2 linked regions of the Danio rerio genome follow. The protein of the gene in region 2 purifies or fractionates together with the protein of the main gene of each other region. This does not show direct contact. Links are inferred from orthologs where the notes say so. Each region holds a gene or a part of one and is shown on either strand. Other genes may lie near its edges. The genes, in order: mafk and bach2b.

Region 1 (3,834 bases), on a different chromosome or scaffold from region 2:
CTACGATTGTGCTGAAAAGGGGGCGGAGCTTGGGCTGTGATTGGCAGACTTGACAATCGTGATGACACTGGTAGCAGCCACTTTACCGGGCGGCCCACGGGTGACAGTCCGGGCAAAGCACTGTAGGGCCTCGTATTTAGCTCGAAGCGCGTCCAGCTCCAGTCGCATGCTGGCGTTTTCTCGAGCCAGCTTGTCCACTTCGTGTTGCAGCTCCGTCTTTTGCCGCTCAAGCTCCTCCTTCTGCGTGACGCGCTTGATGCGGCAGCTGGCAGCGTATCCGCGGTTCTTGAGCGTGCGCCGCCGCTGTTTCAGCCGCACCACGTCTTCCTTGGTCAAGCCGCGCAGGTGCTGGTTGAGCTCCCGCACAGACATGGCCACCAGCTCATCGTCGCTGAGCGCCGGAGCATTCTCACCTGCCTCCTTCTTTACCTGAAATATAGCACAGAAACAGACATTAGAGACTGTGCTTGATAAAGTTTTCATAATCAAGTCAAATGTAAAAAAAAAATTAGGAATCTGTAAATTTACAAAGTTTGGAAAGTTGTACATGAGCAATCAAAAAGTACAATGTTTATATTGCTAGCATACACTGTTATTGTTTAGGTGATTAAACTAATAACTGCAAGTTATTTCATTGAGAAAAAAAATGTTTGTTTTGGTAATCATTAATCAAAGTCTGACCATTCCATGCGGTTTTTTTTTTAATTCCCAGTTTCTGCTGGTTACATTTCCCAAATTTGCATTGTCAATCTTAGGCCATCTGTAATTGTTTGTTTTCGGTTCAATTTCTAATTTCCCAAACCATTGCAGAGCCAGGGGGATCAGAGCGTGCGCTCCAGCTTGGCCCCACCCTGATCCATGTTTGTAGTGGTGGTCTTTGGGTCTATTGACGTCAGTTTGATGGCTTCAGTCACAAAATTCTTAACCATGCCCCTTTTATCTTTAGTTTGCTATAAGGGAATGATGTGTAAAAAGACAGCTCTGGCCCTTTTTCAATATTCTGTTTCAGTCGCAAGTACATCAACATGCTAAGAATTTTAAATCTCAGAAATCTCTTCCATAGAATGAAAAAAAATTGCATATGCATGGTTGAATTATAATTCAAACCACAAGAGTCAAACACCACTGTTTCCTTCTTCTCATAAACATTTTACTTGACTAAAAGACCACACGTGAATCTGAACATAACAGACTGTGATGTTACATGTGGGATAATCAATATGCACCCCAGCAGCCTTTGATTGGACACAACATTTCCTAGTGAGATAGAAATGTTTTCTTATGTTCTCAGTTTAAAACAACTTATGTTGGACTCATATTTTGAAAATGGGACAGACGTTAGCTCTGGGGTAAGTTAATGCAACAGTCTCAATAGAGTAAAATCAGATTATAAGTTTATTCTGAATATTTTAATGTTCATAATCTTTCCAAATAAGGGAAAACTGAGCTTTTCATTGTAGCACAAATCCCTATGCTTTAAAAAGATCTGTTCATTTACAGTTTCCGTATTTAGGGATTAGTGTTTTCTGTTTATTTACGGTTGTGAATTGCATTATGGGACCTTGATCTCTGCGCTGAAAATTCAACTCTACAGTTTTACAAAGTGACTTTTATTGACATTTTAGTTATATATTGTATAAGAAATAATATAGAGAGAAATGAGCATGTAAAATAACAGAACAAAACCAGACAATATATCACTTTAAACTATTCAAAATGTTAATAAAAGTCACTTTTTTTAAAAGGTTAAAAGTTGTAAGAAGAAAGATCAAAGTCTCATCATGCAATTTAAAAGCATAAATAGAAGGGTGGGGAAAAGATCTATAAATAAAAACACAAAGCACAAAATACGGGAAACTAATTTTGTTTAGTGTAGGGTTTTAAATAGACTTGTAAAAACTTTTCTGGAGATTTTGTACTTACCTAAGCCACATACATTCTATGAAGAGTTCAGGGAACAATTTAAGCATGTATCAGTTCTATGGCACTTTAAATAATAATAATAATAATAATACTTTTTTTATTCATAAAAGATTAATTTCATCAAAAATTATTTCAATTTTCAGATAAATGCTTTTAATTTATAATTTCTGTTCGTAAAAAAAAAAAAAAAATTCATAAAATTTACCCATCACCATGTACCTTAACAAAATTACCTGATCACAATTTTAACAAAAAAAGCAATTAATTATACAAAGGCTTTCAAAAATGTTACTTGATCCTCAAATCAGCAAATATGAATAATTTCTGAGGAATTGCGTACCACGGAAAACTGGAGTAATGCTGAAAATTCAGCTGTACCATCACAAGAATAAATGGCATCTTAAATTCAGCTTAAATTGCAATAGTAGCTATTTCATACGGGTTCCTGAAAGTTTTAATAAGGTAAATTTTAGATGTATTAAATATTAGCATGCTGTCAAATGGTAATATGCTCAAGTACTTTTTAAAAAATAAGCGGTATCATAAACACTAAATATTAAGATCAACTTTATTCTATCTTCCAAAAATAAATAAAACAACAACAATGACTTTAAATTACTTTTTATTTCGTTTCAAAATGTAAATGTTTAGATTCGTTATTAAGACACACTTTTAAAGCAAATTGGCATGTGATTAGAAATCTTGTCTTATGCTAAATTGATTTTTAAAAGATTTCGCAAAAAAAAAACAATTTATTAATTTTACATCTTAAGTAGATGCATGTTGATTTAAAGATGTGTAGATATTTGTAACAATATGTTAATCTTTGCATCTGCAACATTTAATCGTTCTATAAATTTAAGATTTGCTTTGAATTTAGACCCTTTAAGGCCTTACATTTATGAAAAATCTAATCTTCCCAACACACAAGTGTTCTTACCTTTAAAGCTTTGCCTGCTTTAAAATGAGTCGTCATGCCCTGCATACAAGCAGCTTGTCAGAACTCTTCAAAAATCTGTCTAAAAGAAAGAGAAAATAACGTAATAAATATATCAAATGTAACACTTATATGTGCAATAAAAAATTAACAAAATCGGAGAAACACTTTTGTGTGAATGCACTAGTTAGAACATTCCAATGAAACTGCTGAGTTGAATGAAGTGTCCTATAGTGAGCAGCAGAGGTCAGTATAGTACTGCACAACCTCAGCCAGACAAGGGTTGCCCTGTTTACTTGCTGATCTCGCGTTCTCACGATGCGGCTCACTAGACCGTTACAGGAGGGCAATAATAGAAGCAGGTCAGCGCTCGGCATGAGGCTTTGTCTGATCTTTCTGCTTAGCGGTTCAAGCGAGGCTATTTTGGCCACTGTGCTATTTTTAAAAGAGTCCACTGTGTGCGTTTGAGCTCGAGACACGCGCTTTTGCGGGCTCCATTTCAGGAGCGTCTGAGCGCGTGAACTGAACTCTGCTCATGACTGCAGCCATGGAGACGCGCTTCAAAGGGTGTGGGAGTGAGTGTCACGTGACCAGAAAATGGTAAACAAGCTTCATTCATAAGCTCGACGCACAAGGGAGAAACAAACAAAAAAAATAATAATAGATATTCAAAAGGAAATAACATGTCTGTCTAGCCGTTTGTCTGTCTGCCTGTCTGTCTGTCTATCTATCTATCTATTCATTCATTTTCTTGTCGGCTTAGTCCATTTATTAATCCGTGGTCGCCACAGCAGAATGAACCGCCAACTTATCCAGCAAGTTTTTACGCAGCGGATGCCCTTCCAGCCGCAACCCATCTCTGGGAATCATCCACACACACATTCACCATATGTACAGTTGCTTTGAACTGGGCCAAAGCATGTTTGTCCCCCTTCCCGTCTCCCCCGATGGTCCGCACTCACATTACATTCGGG
Region 2 (3,834 bases):
ACCTGCCTACGGGCTCTGTTCAAGAAGGACCTGCCCAGCACACCCCAGCAGCTCTTAGCTAACAGACTCATCAACGCCCAGGATAAAGGAACCACTCAGGGAGACCACAAAAAAGACTACAGGCCTTCGCTTGGCAATGAGTTTGGCATGCCTGTGGCGTTCCCCAAAGACACTGATGGTTTCCCGCCAGGGCTTTCGTTGAAGTCGCCTTCCTGCGATGGTGTGTGCAAGCAAGAGGTGGAGCCGGACCGCCGCAGTGTCATCTTCTCCTCAGGGGCCTGTGACCGACTGGGTACACCCACCCACTCCCATCCCAGCGGGAACTCATTGGAGAAGGAGCTCTCAGAACACATGCCAAAGGGATTGTGGGCCGGCGCCAGCCAGTCCCTTCCCAGCTCTCAGACCTACTCCCCTAGTACCACAGCCAGCGACCCGCCCTTGCTTTGCCGCCAAAGGCCCAATACCAGCTGCCCAGTGCCAATTAAGGTATGCCCACGATCGCCCCCTTCAGAGACCCGCACTCGGACCTCCAGTTCCTGTTCGTCCTATTCTTACGCTGAGGACGGAAGCGGGGGGTCCCCCTGCAGCCTGCCGCAGTTTGAGTTTTCACCCTCGCCTTGCCCCAATGTGACGCGGTGTCTCACCTCTGACCAACAAGAGGCAGGTGGTGGGACGGATGCACTATTTGCACGGGTACGGCCCAAGATAAAGTGTGAGCAGTCATATGGAACCAATTCCAGTGATGAGTCAGGGTCCTTTTCGGAGGGGGACAGTGAATCATGTCATGTTCGAGAGCAAGGCCCTGAGGTGAGTCTGTTGAATTTTTTTTCTCTCATTGTGTTTACCAATAATTTTTTCCAGAACCTCACTATGCATTTTCTAGCTTCCATTCATGCAGAAAGCAATTAGATAACGCATGCTCCTTCATGCTATCAGAGACTTCCCTTTTGATCTCTATTTACTTCTTCATTGAATAAAGCTGCTGACTGCTAATAGAGCAATAAACACTGTAATCATTTTCATGACTGAACTGACAGGAACATGAATAGCTGCAATGATATTACTCTGACCTTTTGGAGCAAACTCAATTTGACAATGGATTGCTGTTGTGTATAGTGACAGAGAAGCAGAGAAGTGGATACATATTTTGCAAAAGCTGAGCAATGACTGAAATAAGTAGAAAGCGTTAAAAGGGATCATTCAGTTAAAATCATACAGGCTTTGAATAAACATGAATGTAAGTACTTGTTGACCGCCCGTGATTTCGGACAAACATTCCCTTTGTTCATATCAAAATACGATCAAAACACTGACTCTATATTTCACATTGTCAGTGTTTACATGGTTACTGCCTTTATAGGGCAGTGCATAGTACAATGAAGTTGTGAAAATTAAAGCAAAAAAGGGCAAAAAACAATTACTTAGGAATGGTTTAAAATATATACATTTGTAGATTTATGGAGGCAAAACAGTAATGTTCAATAGGAAATGAATGCTGAATGCAGAATAGGAAATGCCAATATGTTGCTCGCATACCAGAGCACTATAAGGGGGTGCATATCTGTTCTGTGATTGGTTAATACAAAGCAAGCTACTTTGTTTAGTTTTTTCAGCAGGGACTACTGCAATAATTACACTACTAATATTACCAACTATCTTCAATTTAAATGAATGTTATTCTTTAGAGTTGACTAATCTGTTTAAAAAATACAAGAAAAAATTTGAATGGCACCGTCCATGAAATATCAAGTAGTGCAAATTAATTTTTATATATATATTTATTTACTTGTTTGTTTGTCTTTCTTTTTTAGGTCACATAATATATAATTCTTTTGACATACAACAAACACAGCAAAATTGTATATACTATATATATATATGAGCAATTCCGTGCAAATGTCAACCTTGCCATGAAAATTGTTTTCGTTTTTACCAAAATACGGAAACCATTTCTGGGTTTTTTGTGTAAGCAAGTATTTTACAGTACTTTAAAAATACTCAAAAATGCATCTGTCAATGTTTTCAAACTATTCTATTTGATTTACCAAAGTCACACAAATGGTAATTTCAGATGCGTCACATCCATAACAGAGAGATGTCACATCCATAACGACACTTTCCTCAGAAATGTGAAAATATTAAATAAAATAAAACCAAGCAATTTTGTTTTATAGAGAGCCGACTCTAATCTTTTTGATTAGCATTATTTCTTTTGGGTTGTGCAGTTTAAGTCACATAATTTCTACAAAGTGTGTTGTATACTGTAAACTCGCAGACTTTTTTTGTCACATCCATAACGCATGCTTATTTTCCTCATTTAAAGTACAAAACACGTTTACAGATTGATATTTTTCTGCTTCCATAACTCTGTGGCTAGTTGCTTTAGAAATATAATTAAATTTTTCAATATAATGTTAACATATACTTTCTCTGTCAATTTATGTGTTGAGTTTTTACTGCAAATGTCACATCCATAACGCTGGAATTGCTCATATATATATATATATATATATATATATATATATATATATATATATATATATATATATATATATATATATATAAATCAAGCGAAGAGAAAATGGTAGTTATCTATTTATTACTAATAATTATAATTTAACAATGAAAAGTAAGACATTATTTAAAGAAAGCTTAAATGTACTGATTTAGTATAAAGAGAAAGAATCAATAAGCATATATAAGAATGAAGTTGCATAGAGGATGTTGTCTGATCTGAGTTGTATAAGATTTCCCCAGGGATGCTGTGTATTTTTAAAAAGCAAAGCACTATAAAGGAGAGATCATCTTTAGAGATGAGGATGAGACCTTCAGGAAAGCATGTTGGGAACATCATGGAGAAACTGGTCCGTTGCCATGGTAACACTCGAGAACGAATAGCCAGTTGAGTTTAGGTATGTGCTTTAGATGTAATAATAGCTGGTATGCAAGCTGTTGTAAGTGGGAAATAGTCCCTATACTAAAGTATTTTAAGAACTGATTATGACTACATACTTCAAGGAATAGAAAGTTCAAAATAAAAGCATTACAATTACAATACAAATTTTACATAAAAACTTATAATAAATATCTCCACTGCTTTTTGATCAACTTAAAGGTGCAGTAGGTGATTGTCTTCAGAAACATTTTTTGTTGTGCTGGTTTAAAGTCTCTTCACAGTCCAATAGTAATGATTAAAGTAAGTGATTTAAATATGTTTATATGTATTTTTATATTCGGGGTAAGGCATAAAAATGTTCATCCAATTAAATATTATCAGGCCGACATCTCCCATAATTCCGATAAGTAGCTCAAACTATCTGTCAGCAAATGTAGATTCGGACTTCTGCGCATCTGTTCACGCAGATCCGCCATTTGCGCGTACCCACCTGCATGAGTGCCACGCGTTCACGAGACTATCACAGACGCGGTGAAATCAAATGCTAAATTAAAACTTTTGAAAATCCTGAATCAATATTGGAGTTACTTTTGCACGCTGGAGGAAGAACGACACCATAGCTGAAATATTACTGTTAGACAGGTATGTTCTGTTTTAAAACTATTTTAGTCAGACTAAGCTTATGTTAGATTGTGTTGTGTTATGAATGGCTTATATGCACAGACATGTTGTTTAGCCACTGAAATCTCCCCGTGAAAGATTGATGTGACTATTTTCTGCTTTATAAGGGAAATTTGACAGCATCGATTATGTAGATTTTTATTTAGTTTAACAACAAAACATCAGTAAACAGTGCTGTTCCACGTAGTCTGCTTTACTGAGGTAAAGTTGCTTTTATATTCACATTTGTTCATTTTTGAACAATGACAGCCTTCCTA

What was found.
Region 1: the proteins of bach2b (region 2) and mafk purify together in Homo sapiens (co-immunoprecipitation; 3 studies listed by BioGRID and IntAct, with this or other methods). This does not show direct contact. The link is inferred for Danio rerio from reciprocal best matches to the Homo sapiens genes BACH2 and MAFK.

The regions. Positions count from the first base shown.
Region 1 is NC_133178.1:42,010,117-42,013,950, forward strand, and holds part of mafk (transcription factor MafK), read right to left. Parts: intron 2,943-3,834; 5' UTR 2,909-2,942; coding exon of another isoform or gene 2,900-2,908; coding exon 2,864-2,899; intron 430-2,863; coding exon 1-429. UniProt on the Homo sapiens protein: Since they lack a putative transactivation domain, the small Mafs behave as transcriptional repressors when they dimerize among themselves.
Region 2 is NC_133195.1:26,610,154-26,613,987, reverse strand, and holds part of bach2b (transcription regulator protein BACH2), read left to right. Parts: coding exon 1-807; intron 808-3,834. UniProt on the Homo sapiens protein: Transcriptional regulator that acts as a repressor or activator. Binds to Maf recognition elements (MARE). Plays an important role in coordinating transcription activation and repression by MAFK.